5 linked regions of the Danio rerio genome follow. The protein of the gene in region 3 interacts with the protein of the main gene of each other region in a pairwise test. Links are inferred from orthologs where the notes say so. Each region holds a gene or a part of one and is shown on either strand. Other genes may lie near its edges. The genes, in order: pex12, pex11b, pex19, pex16 and pex10.

Evidence for each region.
Region 1: the proteins of pex19 (region 3) and pex12 interact in a two-hybrid assay, tested with the Homo sapiens proteins (4 studies listed by BioGRID and IntAct, with this or other methods). The link is inferred for Danio rerio from reciprocal best matches to the Homo sapiens genes PEX19 and PEX12.
Region 2: the proteins of pex19 (region 3) and pex11b interact in binary tests that used the Homo sapiens proteins (3 or more experiments, as listed by UniProt). The link is inferred for Danio rerio from reciprocal best matches to the Homo sapiens genes PEX19 and PEX11B.
Region 4: the proteins of pex19 (region 3) and pex16 interact in binary tests that used the Homo sapiens proteins (3 or more experiments, as listed by UniProt). The link is inferred for Danio rerio from reciprocal best matches to the Homo sapiens genes PEX19 and PEX16.
Region 5: the proteins of pex19 (region 3) and pex10 interact in a two-hybrid assay, tested with the Homo sapiens proteins (4 studies listed by BioGRID and IntAct, with this or other methods). The link is inferred for Danio rerio from reciprocal best matches to the Homo sapiens genes PEX19 and PEX10.

Annotation. Positions count from the first base shown.
Region 1 is NC_133180.1:67,482,253-67,486,526, forward strand, and holds the start of pex12 (peroxisome assembly protein 12), read right to left. Parts: upstream 2,807-4,274; 5' UTR 2,617-2,806; coding exon 2,491-2,616; intron 473-2,490; coding exon 1-472. UniProt on the Homo sapiens protein: Component of a retrotranslocation channel required for peroxisome organization by mediating export of the PEX5 receptor from peroxisomes to the cytosol, thereby promoting PEX5 recycling.
Region 2 is NC_133194.1:26,481,245-26,484,253, reverse strand, and holds part of pex11b (peroxisomal membrane protein 11B), read right to left. Parts: intron 1,787-3,009; coding exon 1,585-1,786; intron 1-1,584. UniProt on the Homo sapiens protein: Involved in peroxisomal proliferation. May regulate peroxisome division by recruiting the dynamin-related GTPase DNM1L to the peroxisomal membrane. Promotes membrane protrusion and elongation on the peroxisomal surface.
Region 3 is NC_133177.1:40,112,230-40,116,361, reverse strand, and holds the start of pex19 (peroxisomal biogenesis factor 19), read right to left. Parts: upstream 2,812-4,132; 5' UTR 2,793-2,811; coding exon 2,549-2,792; intron 1,030-2,548; exon of another isoform or gene 48-1,029; coding exon of another isoform or gene 1-47. Other genes in the region: tspan37 (tetraspanin 37), read left to right, coding at 1-47. UniProt on the Homo sapiens protein: Necessary for early peroxisomal biogenesis. Acts both as a cytosolic chaperone and as an import receptor for peroxisomal membrane proteins (PMPs).
Region 4 is NC_133193.1:47,886,232-47,889,749, reverse strand, and holds part of pex16 (peroxisomal biogenesis factor 16), read left to right. Parts: intron 1-1,814; coding exon 1,815-1,895; intron 1,896-2,991; coding exon 2,992-3,141; intron 3,142-3,518. UniProt on the Homo sapiens protein: Required for peroxisome membrane biogenesis. May play a role in early stages of peroxisome assembly. Can recruit other peroxisomal proteins, such as PEX3 and PMP34, to de novo peroxisomes derived from the endoplasmic reticulum (ER).
Region 5 is NC_133183.1:57,048,144-57,051,661, forward strand, and holds the end of pex10 (peroxisome biogenesis factor 10), read right to left. Parts: intron 3,325-3,518; coding exon 3,152-3,324; intron 804-3,151; coding exon 671-803; intron 578-670; coding exon 509-577; 3' UTR 168-508; downstream 1-167.

The sequences.
Region 1 (4,274 bases), on a different chromosome or scaffold from region 3:
TGAGATATGACAGTTTAACCCCGGCAAGCCACAGAAGTGGAGAATGTGTCCGTGTTTTGCCGAAAACGTACAAAAGCTGTTGGCAGAAGACCCAGCCGTCCCACGCCATGCACACGAAAGGATACGCAGCCAAAAACGCCCTGTACATCTTCTGCAGGAAGGACTGCGGCAAGCGGATGGAGAAATCGTCCTCGTCTCTCTGTCGCGCCAGGATTTTCTCCAGTTTGGTGTGCAGGTATGGAATGAGGGCCAGCAGGAGTAAAGAGCGCCAGTGTTGCCTCCGCCGCAGTCCCAAATGGGCAGCACGGGCACTATGTGATCCCACACGCTTCAGGCCATAGAAGTTCTCTGAAAATGAGGCGCTGGTGCGGGACAGGAAGTGATGCTGCAATAACATATCCAGGATTACGTAAATCTCATCAAACCTCCTCCAGAGAACTCCATAGCGGGCAGGGTTAGATGTAGCGAGAATCTGTGGAATGTAAATACGGTAGTTACATTTTTTAAGGATATTTTTAGGGTTGTTCCGATACCGATACTAGTATCAGGAATACTTGCTGATACTGCAAAAATTCTGGCATCTGTGAAACCATAAACCAATCTGATACCATCTCTTTAAATGAGACTTATGCCTGCTGGCTTTACTTGGAGCTAGCAGTATACACCAGTGGTTCCCAAAGTGGGGGTCATGAGACAATGAGGAGGGGTTGCTTGGTGATTTCCAAAAATATCATATATGTTATTAAACTATTAGAATAACCATATTTTAGCCATAACCTACAGAAGATAAAAACAGTATTTATTAGTTGCATCAAATCGAAGAAGTAGTGCAGTAGGTAGTGCTGTCGCCTCACAGCTAGAAGGTCGCTGGGTCGAGCCTCAGCTCAGTTGGCGTTTCTGTGTGGAGTTTGCATGTTTTCCCTGCGTTTTCCCTGCAAAACCCGCGGGTTTCCTCCGGGTGCTCCGGTTTCCCCCACAGTCCAAAGACATGCGATACAGGTAAACTGGGTAGACTAAATTGTCCTTAGTGTATGAGTGTGTGTGTGAATGTGTGTGTGGATGTTTCCCAGAGATGGGTTGCGGCTGGAAGGGCATCCGCTGCGTAAAAACTTGCTGGATAAGTTGGAGGTTCCTTCCGCTGTGGCGACACCGGATTAATAAAGGGACTAAGCCGACAAGAAAATGAATGAGTTGCATAAAATAACAACATGCAAAAAAAAGGCTCTAGCCTTTTAATTCTTTTTCCATTGGATTGGGACCCCTGGGGTTATTACGCTAGACACACCAATAGTGTTAATTGCAGCAGACCTTAGATTTTACGACACAATTTTACATTTTGATACCTTTACAGCACTCACGTACACTATATATATATATATACATACACACATATATATATACATCATGCTCAACATAAATGAGTACACCCCATTTGCAAAATTAATATTTTAATCCATTTTTAAGAGAATAACGGTCATATATTTTGGTACATAACCGATATGTTTATTGAAATAATGCTTTAGTCATCGAACATCTTTAGAAATGGAAGGACGATACATTATTTATGGGACATATTGCAGAAAATATAAACAAATTACAAAATTTTAACAAAATATTATAGATTTTTTTGTTTCTCTTGATTTTTTCTCTTTTTTATCTTTATTTAATGGTTTTTCCCAAACATACATTTGTATGTACCAATTTTGGACTGTAATAAGTTTTTTGTTAGATTAGCTCCAAATTTGGCTTCAGAACTGACTAATCTAATATATTTGCACAAATATTGTAAAGCATCCTATTGAAAATGTGAATTTAACTGAGAGATCTGTGAGGTGTGCACTCATATATGCTGAGAACTGTATATATGTAATTAATATACACGTATAAATAATACATTTACTGTACTTTACCTTAATAGAAAGGAATCATTCTACAAGTAATATTTTAAATAGATTATTATTAATAATACAAAGGAAATACATTCCAAATAATGTTTTGGACACATTTATTACACTAGTGTTTTACAAGTGTACTCATAGTCTTTATGAAGAAACCAGACAGGCACATTTTACACCTGCCCTAAATTGAGTTCCTTTTGATCTTCTTTCTTTGACATACTATCTAGGGATCCTTATATTCCTGTGAAACCCTGCCCAATAATAGCAATTTTTTGCTTTACCTCCTAATGACGCTTTACGTAGTTTCATATTGATCTTACTGTTTTCGCCTCATTGCTAAACACTGTATTTGATTGCAACTTCCTCACGATGCTGTCATTGATGTTTCAGTCAGCATCCCCGTAATGGCGTGTAATAATGCGCCTACATAAATTCTGATAGTTTTACCGTAAAAAAGAAGCCACAAAGTAAACGATGGAGCATAATATGGGAAAATGGACTATTTATTTTATCCATGCGCTATTTATCGTCACAGTCCAAAACTCAAGGAGTACAAATGCAGGAGTACAGTATGATGAAAAAGCGAGCATACCTTGACAGCATGCAGTAAAGCGGGTTTGACAGCGGTCATTAAAGAGTCCTGCGCTAAAACCTCAAACACTGAGGGTCGATCTTCAGCCGGGGCAGCTGTGGTTAAATGAGCTCCTCGCTCCGCCATCACACCTGATGAGGAAAACTACTGCAAACAACAATAACGCCTTCCTACAGGTACGTCAGTCGAGCCTTTTAATGAGGACAATGGTGCTCATTTTACCAAACAAAATAATTCAGGAGAGTTACAGTGCTGGAAATCAACGCACTGGTCAACGGTCATCATCTGTCGCAACACTTTTTTTTCCCTGTCAGACGCGTTTTCTTCTTGGGGCTTTAACATCAATAAAACGGGTTTGTACTGACACCTGCTGTGCTGGAGGGTTCATGATAATCTACTGTAGACCTACAATCTGTGTGTGTATTTCGTAGAGTTTTACATTTTATAGGACAATTGAATTTAGATAAAAAGGAACCAAAGGAATCATATGAATAAATCCTTTAAAGATGAATCAAATGAATCACTTGCATATATCAACCTGTGGCGTCACAGCGGCGCAGTGGGGTGCACGATCGCCTCACGGCAAGAAAGCCGCTGGTTTGAGCCCCTGCTGGGTCAATTGGCAATTCTGTGTGGAGTTTGCATGTTCTCCTCAAACTTGTGTGTGTTTCCTCTGGGTGCTCCGGTTTCCCCCACAGTCCAAAGACATGCGGGTATAGTTGAATTGGATAAACTAAATTGTGTGTGTATACATACATGCATACATACATGCATAACGTTGCAATCAGTACTATTAAACCCTGTTTGAATTTTTTTTTCTTTTTTAAATATTTCCCAAATTATGTTTAACAGAGCAAAGAAATTTTCACAGCATGTCTGATAATATTTTTTCTTCTGGAGAAAGTCTTATTTGTTTTATTTCGGCTAGAATAAAAGCAGTTTTTTAATTTTTTATGAACCATTTTAAGGTCAAAATAATTAGCCCCTTTAAGCTATATTTTTTCGATAGTCTACAGAACAAACCATCTTAATACAATAACTTGCCAAATAACCCTAGCCTGCCTAGTTAACCTTATTAACCTAGTTAAGCCTTTAAGTCACTTTAAGCTGTAGAAGTGTCTTGAAAAATATCTAGCAAAACATTATTTACTGTCATCATGGCAAAGATAAAATAAATCAGTTATTAGAAATGAGTTATTATAACTATTATGTTTAGATAGCCGTTTGAGTTGTGAATGAGCCAAATAGGCTTAAAACACCTGTTTACTGTAGTAAAAACCACTTTCTATAATCAAGTACATTTTTTGCTTCCATGTTTAAAAAAAATCAAAACAGCCACTTTTCTAATTAAACTGTGAATTTAAACATATATAAACATTAAAACTACAGGCTAATTCACACATTTCATGATCTGATTCATAATAAATAAGGCTTTTTTAAAATACCACAACACTTGATGTTTCCATCTCTAACAGTGACTCTGGCAGTTTAAATGAGTACATTCACTAAGTGGTTCTGTCACTGTGTTTAATCCTTTCTGAGCAAGACTGTATGGTATAGTTAATGCCACAGGCACTTTAATGTGTTTTATTTTGGTAGTTCATTTTGAAATTTAAATAGCGAAATGTTCGATATGAGGCGAGGCAGTAGCGCAGTAGGTAGTGCTGTTGCCTCACAGCAAGAAGGTCGCAGGATCAAACCTCGGCTCAGTTGGCGTTTCTGTGTGGAGTTTGCATGTTCTCCCTGCCTTCGCGTGGGTTTCCTCCGGGTGCTCCAGTTTCCCC
Region 2 (3,009 bases), on a different chromosome or scaffold from region 3:
AAAATAGAACTTAGAACCTGTTTTTAAATCAAATAAAAATAAAAAAAGAACCAGCTAAAAAAAAAGGAAAATATTCAATACGAAAAATGATCTTTGCTACTGTTTCTGATAATGATAATTATAGAAATCTAACATCTCGTACAACATATTTATTTTCAATGAATGATTCAACAATTTTCACATTAAACTTTATGTTTTGGATCGTTTTTTGAAAACCTATTCAGTGACATCATTTGGATGGTTGGTTGCACAATGCAATTGCTACAACATTCACCAGCGTCAAGTTCCATTAAATGTTGATTTTAATCTTTACCATAAATATCAGTGTTTATATCTGGACTATAAACTGTTCTCCCAGTTCTTCTGTGCTTTTTAATTGTTTGTGACAAACTGACAAAAAGTGTAAAAACTGCATCTCTCTCGATAATATGCAGATTTGAACGCATTGCTTTGAAGGATTAATAAACATATGCAAATCATTATCATTTATCATTCATGTTGCGCGGGTTTGAATTGAGATCACAATCTTCTAATGTTTAATTGTGCAGCTTACACTGAATGCATTAGCCTAGGCTAAACAAACAGTGACAAAAAAACACATATTTAATAGATAACCTAAGAAAGCATTTAGGTGGGTCCCATCACAACTTTTTGTCATCATTATATATTACAGGGAAGTCAAAATGCTTTCATACACTGATTTGAATGACGTGTGAGGTGATCTCTGTGCAATCATTATGAATATCAAATTAACCTATAGGTTAAAAAAAAAATTATCTGGGGGTCACGTGTAATCCGAACTGTGGGTTGTGATCCGTTACACCCCTAACAAATACTGTCAGTTTTCATTTTGGGTGAACTATCCCTTTAAATTTACATTTTAATTTATTGGCGACCCCTGGTGGCTGCTTTTATAGTCGTTTAAATTAGCAGAAAAATCATCAATCTTCATTTATTATAAAAGTAATCTAAATAAATCTCATACTAAATTATTGTTATTGATCTACTTTATATATACTGCCTGCATGACATATTAAAATTTTGGAAGACATATAAACTAAAATTAACTGATGGCATTATATTTAAAGACTTTTAGTGTAGTTGATTTAAAAAAGACAATTTAAGCTACAAAACACAAATGAATTGTATTTTTAAATCTTTATACTTTATCTTTCTATACTTATACTTTAAGTTTTATCCATTTGACAGCAAGACTTTAATAATTAAAAATATAATAAAACTTTAGTAAGATGATTTGAGTCCATTTCAGCATATTTTGTTGTTCAGTTTGCAATCTCATCAAATCATTATTTGACCTACATTTTAAAATAATAATAATAAAAAAACTTAAAAATGATACACTTTACTTGCATTTATGCTTTCTAAATTGTATTAGATGAAAATGCCAAAATTACATGTCTTATTTAAAACCTAAATTAAATATAGAAACTATTTACTCATTAAAAATACTAATACAAAATAAACATCAAATGTCAAGTTAATGTCTGGTTATAACATTTTTAAACTAAATTATTCACTTAATAAAAGGAACAGGTTTAAAGTAGACAAAAAAAAAAAACACACCTAAATGATCTCTGGCTCCATTTGTTTTGGTCCAGTTCAGGCAGCAGTCCTGTTTTTCCGGCCCACAGTACATTATCACAGGCAAAATACATGGCTCTGTTCAAATGAGCCACTGTGATGCAGAGACGCAACACACAGTCTGACAGATGAACAGTGCGTTTGGCGGCTTCCAGAGCTTCAGCTGAGTTTCCCAACCACATCACTGACAAAAACACACAAAACGCACTCAAACACTGAGGCATATTAACATTGAGGATGTGTATGATCACAAATCAAATTTGTGAGTTTTTAGGAGGCATACTGTATGTACTGTAGTATGCACTGTAGTTGCTTATATGAAACTTACATTGGAGAACAATGTGGGGTGAAAAGATTCAACAATTTCACATACATTTTTTTTAAATATATGACATTTTGAGCATGTCATGAAATTTCACATTTTTATAACAGACCATTCAAATAAATATCTGTATAAAAATAAACCAGCACTTATTTTAAGCTATATCAGTGAGACAACAAAGTTTGTAAATATAAAAAAAATATTTTCTGTACCATATATAGAAGCTCTACTGTGTGAGAACATCATTTCATGCCATACAATTATTCGACATTCATTCATTCATTCATTCATTCATTTTCTTTTCGGGCTAGTCCCTTTATTAATCTGGGGTCGCTACAGCGGAATGAACCGCCAACTTATATAGCAAGTTTTACGCAGCAGATGCCCTTTCGCCTGCAACCCACCATTACTAGGAAACATTCAAACACAATTATTCACACTCATGCACTACGGACAATTTAGCCTACCAAATTCACCTATACCGCATGTTTTTGGACTTAAGGGGAAACTAGAAGAAAGCCACTGTATTAGACATACAGTAATATCAGTACACAATAAAACTGTATTATATATCAAACAAAGAAAAAAAAAATTCAAACTAAAACAGCTTTATAATGATGAATATAGTGTACCAGCTACTTTTTATCGTATTTTTACCCTAATATGTACAGCTTTGCTGTGCTTATGATGGATATTTTATTATATATACTGCATGGTGTTGCCAAAGACATGATATTTGCTTTAATTTCCCTGCCATTGTTTCTTTAAGACCAATATTAAAGTTTTTTTTTTGGAAAGAGAAGACCTTAGTGTAGCCAATGATGTGCTTTGGTTAAGCCACATGACATGCAGTGTTTTTCTGTGGCATGATTTCTCACAGACTGGCGTTTATTGCGAGTATTGCTGAATGCAAATGTAAACATCAATAAACAACAACTCATGTCAGATCCATAAAAAAAATCTGAAACATCACCTCCAGTAAGTTATGATGACATATTCATTCGTTCATCATATTCATTCTTTTTTTTTTTTATTAAGTTTTCTGTAAATCGTTTAAATGTATGTGTTTCCAAATGGCAACACTG
Region 3 (4,132 bases):
TGAGATACCCAGTCCCACAAGAGTATCGAATTCTGGACCAGGACTAAAAACATCCAAATATCTTTAAACAATATTCCTAAATGCCTGCATATTACATTTTAATGTCTTTTTATATATCACTTGTTATTATCTATTCTAATACATAAAGCACTCCATGTTTTCCTGAATTTCTAAGGTGTGACTATTCATATTTTTATAGATGTTTTATTTACACACCAAGGCATTTACTTTGCACAATAAAATAGATACTACTGAATAAAAAATTTGTTTGTTTTTTAATGTTGGCTACAAATGCATTGCTGGCTGTTGGTAAAAATGAAGACAATGGGGTATATGCACACAGATTTTTAATTTCAGTCAGCCAGAATCTAGTTCATGCTCTATGGTCTTGTACAAAAAATTCTAGATTTCTGGAAAAGAGTTCATAAACACATTTGTTTGGTTGTAGATTTTTATATCACATTATGCCCTAGACTATACTAGGTGGTTAGGTGGTTGGATAGACATTGAAATAAAAAATTAAGACATAAAATCCTGGGTCCAAACCAGTTTGCTGATTGGGAGACAAATAATTCTCATGAGTTTGAAATCAGAGGATGCCCCTTCCCTTCAAAAATGGCCGGTAGAACTTGCTAGAGTGGCCACATTTGGAAGAAAATGTCTTATAAGCAAATGGACTAAAGCTAAACCTAAACTATAAAACTGGTCCAAGTACTTAACCTGTTTGTAAATGGAATAGTAATAAATGTGTGAGAAACATACTGATTGTGACAGTGTAACTGTGATATGTTATTGACTGAACTTACCTATTCATTTTTTTTATTGTATTTTATTTTCTCTTTATTATATAAAGATGGAGGCTTTAACTGTATTTAATGACAGCTAAGCCGAGACCTTAAAGTCGTAGTTAGGGATTAGTTTGGGTTGGGTTTGTTAATAGGGTAAACTGTTGGTTCTTTACAGAGTTATATACTGTATTCCATTCTGAAATTTGCCCGAGAATCAATAAAACTATTAAACTCTGAAAAATCTGTGATCATCACTGCCTGATAGATATCCGGGATAAAGTGGGTCTCAGATTGGATGAGAAGCACTGCACAGCCATGTCTTTAAAACATTTATTTTACCACAGTATTTTCAATTGAGTCTCTGCGCTAGCCTGCTGCTAATGACGGCCCCTACCTTTATTTAAATGGTCTTACATCCCTTTTTACTCTTTAACAACCAAAACGAATGCTTAAGTCTATTTAACCGATTATATTTGAATCACATTACGACATTGATGCGGTAAAAAGAACCGTATGAAACTGAAAATAGTCACATACACCTTTCACTGGAAATTCATTAGCTGAAAAACAGCTGTGCATATAGACCATTGTTCAACAAGACAACATTTTTAAAATCAGATTTAAGTTCTCATTTTTCCTGTATCATGAATTTTGTTTCATTGCAGGGCAAATATCACACATTTATTTGGGTCAGCAGAAAAAAATGCTAATTATATTTTGTGAAAGTATTTCAGAGCTTCAACTACTTACAGACCCGTAGCCAGAGTGGATTTGTGTAGTTCGAAAGACCCACCCCCCCCACAGACAAAGGTCCAGATTTTGTATCATACGTGAGCTCATTTGTCCCATTTTGATTGCTAAGCCATCATAAATTGTGAAATTAAGATATCAATAGCTTTAAGACCAAGCAGAATGTGTCATAAATGAAGTCATCTTTCACCACTGACATATTGTATTGTTGTTAAATAGCAAAAACATTTTACAATGAACTTTTATTCTAAGTCTTGAACCTTATTTTTGAAAGAAAAAATGACCAATAAAAAAGTGTAAAGCACCTAGACGTTAATTATAATAATGATTTGACTATTGTTGTAATCGATGAATTTTCAAATGTACTATTTTTTACAAAAGAGGCTGGAAAATTGTCAAGCTCTACATTATTATCATTACTGTTTTAATGATTCAATATTCAAATGGAAAAATTCTGCCTGAGGAAATTGAATTTGATGCTCAGTTTGTTATTTGCCTAATAAATGACAACCATTTTAAATTTAAAACTTTAACAGATTACATTTTTTTCTAATTATATAGGATAAGTTAGGGTAATAAAGTTAAGTATATTAAGTTAAAAATAAGTATTTTTTCTTCATGTTTCTTCATTTTAAATCTTTAGTAAATATTTTTAGTACATCAAAAAGTGTGGTATGTTGACCATCTGATAAGCTAATCCAGCTAAAATAATGCTTAAAATATCTCTAAATCAGCATTTAAACCTCACAATTAAAAAGAAAATGAAGCGAATAACTGCAAAAAGGTCCACTTTTTAGAAAAAGAAAACCATCCCTTTCACCAGGCTGGCTACGAGCCTGATTTAGACTATATCAAATATCGGCCAGTGTCAACGTATTTATTCATCTACTGTATTTTTTGTCATTTTCTACAATGTTTATTCTTGCTATTTGTTCTTATTCCTCGTTTGAGTGTGTTCGTCTTGTTCGCATCATGACGGGAGATTCTTTAGATGCTTCATGTTTACTTACTTGTGCTGTAAAATCTTCCCCCAAATAAAAAGAAATGGAAAAACGACAATAGAAGAGACAAAAACACGTAAAAACTATCTAGTTGTATCATAAGCGGCGGTTTATCTGCATTTGAATGGATTGCGAATGTGGGAGGGGTCGAGACTTCCGCTTCCTCTGCTGAGCTCCCTTGTGGCGTGTTTTTTGTGTCACAAGAGCGCAGCGCCAAAAAGCCACGTTCCGCTAAAGCTCCGCGTGCGTTCATTCATCTGCAGATTCGGAGAGACGTTGAAGTCGGTAAGGGTCCAAATATACATGTAACGTGTGTTTATGTCTTTAAAGTTGCGTTTAATCGTGTTTATCAGGGTTTAGTAACGTTATAACCCCTTCGGTGTCTGAGGCCTGGCTTTATGCGGGTTAGGCCTCTTAGCGCAGCCTGCTCGAGTTTGAACTCGAGAGTTGCATGGGATTTACAGGACGAGTCATCGCGAAAATACGGGGACGGTGTGTGGGGATTGAGGCCTCGTGTTGGATGCTGTTTTGATGTTAGATATATTTTGCAGCCTTTACTTACATTTTTAAGCATGCTGTGTAATTCTACAAGGTTGTATTTCTGTAGCTAAGAGACGAAACCTTAACAATGGCGAGGTAATCTTACACCAGCATGACCGGAAGAGCGACGTCCTGCTGCGGGCGGCTTGTAAAATGTACGCCCCCACGACTAGACTGAATTACAAAAACTCTTTGTTTCATTTATGAGAAACTAACAGAGGCAGAAAAGTGTAGCGAGTGTTTTTTTTTATTCCAGTGCTTTTTTAGTAACGTCCACCGCCTTAAATGTTGCATAAATTGTGTCGTGAACAAATGAATGAAATGATACCGAACTGTACCTGGAGCCGCTTTGTTCACTCAATAGGTGGAGAGAAAATGTTTTCTCACGTTGTCTGCTTTAATTTATGATTATAATTGTTCATTTCTTTATGAAAAGGAATGTATAACGTATTGTGTACTTGAAAAATGTTTCACAAAATGCGAGATTTTTTGCCATGACAATGTGGGTCTGAAGAGAGAAATGAAATGTATTTTACATTTGTGTAAATGTGGTAATACAATTTGGGTAATATTTATGATTATTTATGATTATACGCCTTTATTTGTGGACAGTTTCATCTCTACTTCTGGAGAGGTCTGTAGAATAGAAATTCACTGTTGTTATGTTGAAAGGAAAGCAAATGTGTAGAATAAATAATTTATTGTATAGTGTAAATTATGCATGAACAAAATTCTACAAAATGAAGAATAATTACAACAATACTTACATTCAACACCATTAAACAACAATAAAAAGCCATTGAGGAATAATATACAGGTAAGACAACATAGGTCTGTAAGTAGGCATGGGATGATAACCAGTTTCAAGGTTTGGAAAGGTCAAGGTGGGTTTTTTTTTCTTTGTTTTTTATAAATGTGTAGTAAAGAAATCTGTGTTTGAAATGAGGCTGGGTTAATAATCTATATTAAATCAAATCTTGATAATTAGTCAATAATAATAAGCTCTGGACTTTTTTCCACTCTATATTGATCTAAGAGCCGATCACACAGCAG
Region 4 (3,518 bases), on a different chromosome or scaffold from region 3:
ATTCTAGGATTTTTAATGACCACAGAGAGCCAGGACCTCAGTTTAACGTCTCATCCGAAAGACGGCGTTCACTAAGCAGTATGGAGTCCCCATCACTATACTGGGGCATTAGGACCCACAGAGACCGCAGGTTAAGCGCCACCTGCTGCTCTCACTAACGTCACTTCCGGCAGTAAACTAGCTTTCCCATCATACCATCTAGAATGGTATGAACTCTTTGAGTTAAAACTTGCTGTATAACATAAAATAATTTACATAGATGTGATTAGAAAAAGATAAGTGGTCTTAAAATTTGAAAATATAAAAAAAAAAGATCTACATATCAGACACAACTCTAAAAGCTATACTATACAGTACTACTATACTATACTTAAAAAATACCCAATAACAGCATTATATGTATTAATATATAGCCCTCTGGTGACCAAGAATAAAATAAAAAATGGAAATGTGCAAATATTTAAGAATAATGATAAAAGATATTGCAGATATTTTTATTGGAAATTATACTGGAGAATCTTCTGAAATCTATTGTGGTTAATAATTTAATATATTACAGTTTTAATCTTCTGTATATAAAAACACGTGATTACAGCACAAATATCAGTGGAAATCTGAGAATCACTCAGTTAGATCATTGTATTTGTTTATTAATATTTATTAGTTTTAACTAATGCTGGTATTTTGAAATAGACCATATTGTGAATTTATAAATAACAATACCTGCAAGTTTGAAGCGTACAAATATTATTATTAAATGTTATTAAATAAATTTAATCAAAGTGTATTAGAAAAAAACAAAGTTGTATTGAAAAAATATCACAATAATTAACCCTGAAAAAAGCAGCGCAAACACTACCAGGCTGCTGATGTGTTTGCGACAAGGAGGGACAAGGATGAATCCAGCTTCTTATTCAAAGCTTCTTATTGACGCTATCCGGTCCACCTAAAAACCGCGACGCTTTCTTTTTTCAGTTTCTTGTTCGCGCTCAAGAAAACACAGTTTAATCTAAGCAAGGGCTTATTATGCGGTCCTGGCACCATCTTGTGGAAAGACAACGTCTACTGTGTTTGACTAATGGAGACCAAAGCGCTGTCTCTTAGAAATTATAAATATTTTAAAATAGGCAATGCATACAGCATAGTTGCAATCATAACAACTACATTCTCGATTAAAACAGCCTCAAAAGTACATTATGTTGTCCAATAGGAGGAATATTAGTCAAACTGTAGAGCGTCCTCTGCTTTTATGTGGGCGGAGAAATACACAGAGGTGAAGAGGCCTTTGTGTGCTGTTACTGGCAAAATATCTCACAGCTATCAGCCAATCAGATTCAAGAACCTGACAGAACTGTTAAACCTAAAAAGAACCCCCTAAAAACTAATTTAATGACTTTTAATGCAGTTTACAATAAAAGTCATTAATAAATATAAGTCTTATAAATGTATCAGAAAACTTTGAAGTTCAGAAGTCAGAGTTAATTATTTTTAATCATTAACAGGAAATGAACCACACTAAAGTGTCTCTGGAAACCACAGCGCAGGACATTTAGCAGAGACACAACAAACAATTAACGCACAGCAATAATACAGAAATATTCCCACTGATGACAGTAAATAAACAGAGAGTGAGACAATAAGTCCAGCGTATGGCATGTGTAGATAAGCTGTGTTTGTGTGTTGTGTAGGGTTGTGCTCATTTGATTTGCCCTTGAACAGAAACACGGCAGTAACTTTGAGAAGCATCAGCTCTTGCAGTCTGTGTCAAAATAGTGATGTTTTGTTCATTCGTCACACACTTATATTCTACACAGACAACAATGAAGAAGAAGATGATGAAGACAGTTCTTTTGTGGGCCAGCGTTCAGGAAGAGTGGTCCGGCCACTGGGAAGTGGTAAGACTTTGTTTGTTTGGTTTGTTTGTTTTTTGTTGTGTTGCTTTGTTTTTGCTTTTATTCATTTTCTGTTTGTCTGTTTTGGGTTTTGCTTTGCTTTATTGTTTTGTACGTTTTTTTTTTGTTTTTGGTTGTTTGCTTTTAGTTGTGTTGTTTTGTTTTTGCGTATTCGTTTCCTTTTTGTTTTTTGTTTGTTTTGTTTGTATGTTTGTTTTTGTTGTGTTGTTTTGTTTTGTTTGTTTGTTTTTTTTTGTTTTGCTTTCCTTAATTGTTTTGTATGTTTTGTTTTTAATTTGCTTTGTCTGTTTTTGTTTATGCTTTTATAAATTTTTTGTTTAGTTCTGGGTTTTGCTTTGCTTTAATGTTTTTTGTTTTTTATTTTGTTTGTTTTTATTGTGTTTTTTGCTTTTTATTTGTTTTTGTTTTGTTAGTTTTGTTTTTTGTTGTATTGTTTTTTTTACTTTTATTATTTTTTTGTTTTGTTTTTCTTTTTGTTTTGTGTTTAGCTTTGCTGTGTATTGTTTTGTTGGTTTTTTTTATTTGTGTTTTGTTATTGCTTTTATTTGCTTTATTAAAAAATCAAAAATTGTCGGAAAATGCCTGATTTTTAATTATAACAAATGACAAATTTTTTCTTAAACAGTTACCAAAAATACGTAAGTCCTCTTAATTACATTTTTTTTTTTTTAATTTTGGAAGAAATATTTTCAGCTCTTTTAAAGAATAAAGCAAACATTAATATCTAAAATATATAATAATTAACTATATTAATTGGTATATAAACCAATATTGCCCAAACCCATTCCCAATGTGTTGAAAAAAATCTCTCCATTAAATAGAAATTGGGGAAAAAAATATAAAGGGGGCTAATAATTCTGCCTGTACACCTATACCTATATATTAATGATAAGAACACACAAAATACAAAATGAGAACTATAAAATTAAAATAACACAATCTTACATGCATTTCTAAATAGCTGGTAAAATACATGGTGGTCATTCTTGTAATAGTGTCCATTATTTATCCTTTAACCAAGTGTACAAAAATGGTTCCATGCCATTAAAAATGTGTAAGTGTATTTTTCTTTTTCTAGCACCATCATTACAGTCTCGTCTCTGGGGTCTCCCTCGGAAAAAGAAAGTAAGCAGGAATCAGGAAGAGGAGCTTTACTCCAGCCCGACTCCTCTGGGTCTGCAGGAAACCATCGCAGAATCCCTGTACATCGCAAGACCGCTTCTGCACCGTATCCTTCCTCAGTGTTTCACAACAATATCAGTGCAATATTAACCCAGAGGTGTAGAAACAATCTCAGGGGTGTAGGAACATCAATAAGTCGAAGTCATGTAGTTTTATTAGATTTTCACCATGTTCAGTCCACTACTGTTGTGTGATCGGCACATTGTGTGGCACATTTTTTTTTTTTCATAGCATAATCAAGTATTTCCAAGAAAACAAGATGATTTAATGTAGTAATTCTCACTTGTTTTGACTTGAAGGCTGCTTCTTTTTGTCCCAAGCACTATTTGAAGGCCAACACTTGTAGTCTCTAAATGGTGTTTCATGCCTGCAGAAGTGCTTGTGTTTTTCAAGGTTGCCGGCCTTTTGCATGGCTTTTAGTTG
Region 5 (3,518 bases), on a different chromosome or scaffold from region 3:
TGATTATTTGGTTTCATGGCTTTGCAAAAATAATTCCATTTGCTAAAACGGAGAGAAAGTTGTGGCCAAATTAAGACACAAAATCACCCCAGAGGGAATGAAAACATCCCCAACAGAACACAGCACACAGTTTTTTTTTAGTTTGAAACAATACAGTTCACAGTGCGTTTTTAGGGACAACTTAAATGTTTTTATATTCAATCAACTTAAAATTGTAAGAAGGATTAAGATGGTGTTATTGATTTGCATTGAGACAACATGAAACAATTGTGTTGAAGAAAATGTGTGCATTTTTTTTTTACAGTAAACATCTGCATAATTACAAAATTAAACATAATTAAAAGAAAATGTATCAGATTGAAATGTGTAAAAGTGTCTTGTTTTGCACAAAACAATACACTTAATAATTCCCAAATCATGAAATCCTTAAATTACTGTCTGTTTTGCAATCCCTGAGAGAATGTGAAAAAGCAACAGAGTCAAATTTCCATCACGATCACCTCAAGGTCTACTTGTAGCTTCTCAAATAAACCAATCTGTGAGGCTGGAATTTCTCTCGACACAGCGGGCATTCATTCTACGATGAAAGAAACCAAGAAAAAAAAAACTGATCAGACATCGGTAATGTTAAACTTCACAGCATCACTTCACAGCTATATGAAGGTCTTGCCTTGGTATTGCACCACTCGGTAATGCACTCCCAGCAGAAAAGATGGCCGCAGGGAGTGCTGGTGGTGTTTCTGCGCTCCTCCAAACACAAGATACAGCGTGAAGTGCGAGACGACGACTGACTGACCTGATGACTGAAGAGAAAAACGGCGAATGAGTAACGAGAGAAAGCATTAAATAACAAACGATTCATTTAAGGACTTCAGAAAAGATGATAAAAAAATACAATGGTCAGTAATTAAAAAAGAAGATGAAAAAAATATAGATTCTGATTGGCTGGAAAATAAAAACACACAATAACAGAAGGAAGAAAAAAATTTGATCATATATACAGTGCATCCGGAAATTATTCATAGCACTTCAGGGAAATTATTTATAGCACTTCACTTTTTCCACATTTGTTTATATTACAGCTTTATTCCAAAATTGATTAAATTCATTTGTTACCTTAAAATTCTACACACAATACCCCATAATGAAAATGAGAAAAAAGAAAAAAGATTTTTTGAAATTGTTGCAAATTTATAAATAAATAAATAAATAAATATATATATATATATATATATATATATATATATATATATATATATATATATATATATATATACAAATCACATGTACATCAGTGTTCACAGCCTTTGCTCAATACTTTGTTGATGCACCTTTGGCAGCAATAACAGCCTCAAGTCTTTTTGGATAAGACGCCACAAGCTTGGCACACCTGTCTTTGGGAATTTTTGCCCATTCCTGTACCTCTCAAGCTCTATCAGGTTGGATAGGAAGCGACAGTGTACAGATATTTGCAGGTCTCTCCAGAGATGCTCAATAGGATTTAGATCTGGGCTCTGGCTGGGCCACTCAAGGACATTCACCAAGTTGTTGTGAAGCCACTCCATTGATATTTTGGCGGTGTGCTTTGGGTCATTGCCCTGCTGGAAGTTGAACCGTCGACCCAGTCTGAAGTCAAGAGCAGGTTTTCATTCAGGATGTACATTGCTGCATTCATCTTTCCCTCTATCCTGACTAGTCTTCCAGTTCCTGCTGCTGTAAAACATCCCCATAGCATGATGCTGCCACCACCATGCTTCACTGTAAGGATGATGTTAGCCTGGTGATGAGCGGTGTCTGGTTTTCTCCGGACGTAACGCCTGGCATTCACTCCATCAAAGACAATATATTAATGTAATTTAAATATATAAAATTTGAATTGATGTTTACTTAAAACTTTAATTAGTTTAGTTTAGTTTGTTTATATAGCACATTTTTTACAACACAACGTTGGCCAAAGTGCTGAACACAATCAATACTAAACATGAAATCTACATCACATAAATAACAATTAAAACATAAGGCAAATCCCTCAACATTAAAAAGGCTCAAATACTAAAGAACAAAGATGGTGTTTCAAACGCTTTTTAAAAACAGGTAGAGTTGGAGCATGTCTAAATTATATTGTTCTGATAAAAGATTTTTTTTTAAAGATTTTGTTAAATAAAAGATTTTTCTAGAGTCATCCACCCTAATTTTGTGGCTCAAAAGTATCGGTTCAGGCACCGGTATCATTTTAAAAGTATCGATTTAGCACCGGTATCGAAAAAAAAAAACGTAAAAAAAAAACGATACCCAACCCTTTCATTGGGTTATCGATCACCTCCCTGATTAAGGCTATTCTCCCCGATCACTCAGCTTAGATGGCCGGCCAGCTCTACGAAGAGTCCTGGTGGTTCCAAACATTTTCCACTTACAGATGATAGAGGCCACTGTGCTCATTGGAACTTTCAGAGAAGCAGAAATTTTTCTGTAACCTTCCCCTGCCTTGTGCCTCGAGACAATCCTTTTTCGGAGGTCTACAGACAATTCCTTTGTCTTCATGCTTGGTTTGTGCTTTGACATGCACTGTCAACCCAGGGACCTGATATAGACAGGTGTATGCCTTTTCAAATCATGTCCAATCAACTGAATTTACCACAGGTGAACTCCAATTAAGCTGCTGCAACATCTCAAGAATGATCAGTGCAAAAAGAATGTACCTGAGCTCAATTTAGAGCTTCACGGCAAAGGCTGTTAATACTTCTGTACATGTGATTTTTTTTTCAGGTTTTTTATTTTAAAATAAATTTGCAACAATTAAAAAAATATTTTTTCACATTGTCATTATGGGGTATTGCGTGTAGAATTTTGAGGAAATAAATTAATTTAATCCATTTTGGAATAAGGCTGTAACTTCAAAAAAATGTGGAAATGCGCTATGAATACTTTCCGTATGCACTGTATATTTGCTTAAGTCCATAACTGAAAAGTATTATCACATTTATCAGTTTTAGTTTGATGTTTTTTTTGTTAACTTAATCGATTTGTTTTGGGACAACATAAATAAATTGTGTGGAACCAAGCATTTTTTACAGTTAATAAAAAAACTGTAGGAATATGAAAGGTTGAATCATCAGACAACATGCAGTGCTTTATGTGCAGAGCTGTACACCTGGGGAGAAGGTTTCTGTGCTGTTTCCATTCATGCCGAGCTCTTTGTCGTTGCCTGAGGTTGTTGAACTGCAGTGTGAGAGTGATGGCCAGCTGGAGAACAGACAGGCCACCCAGCAGACGGTAACTGTGACTGATCCTGGGGTCATCGCCGGACGCATTTCCCACTCTTAGCTAAACAAAACATACTCACAGTTACGCAGAGTAGACAATTTAAATCTCTAAACCAGTGGTTCTCAAACTTTTTTCACCAAGTACCACCTCAGAAAAAATTGTCTCTCCAACTACCACCATAATAAACAGTTGGCCAAATTAAGCATCTACAGCACAGCACGGTTCGAAGACGAGGCAGAGTCATATTCATTCAA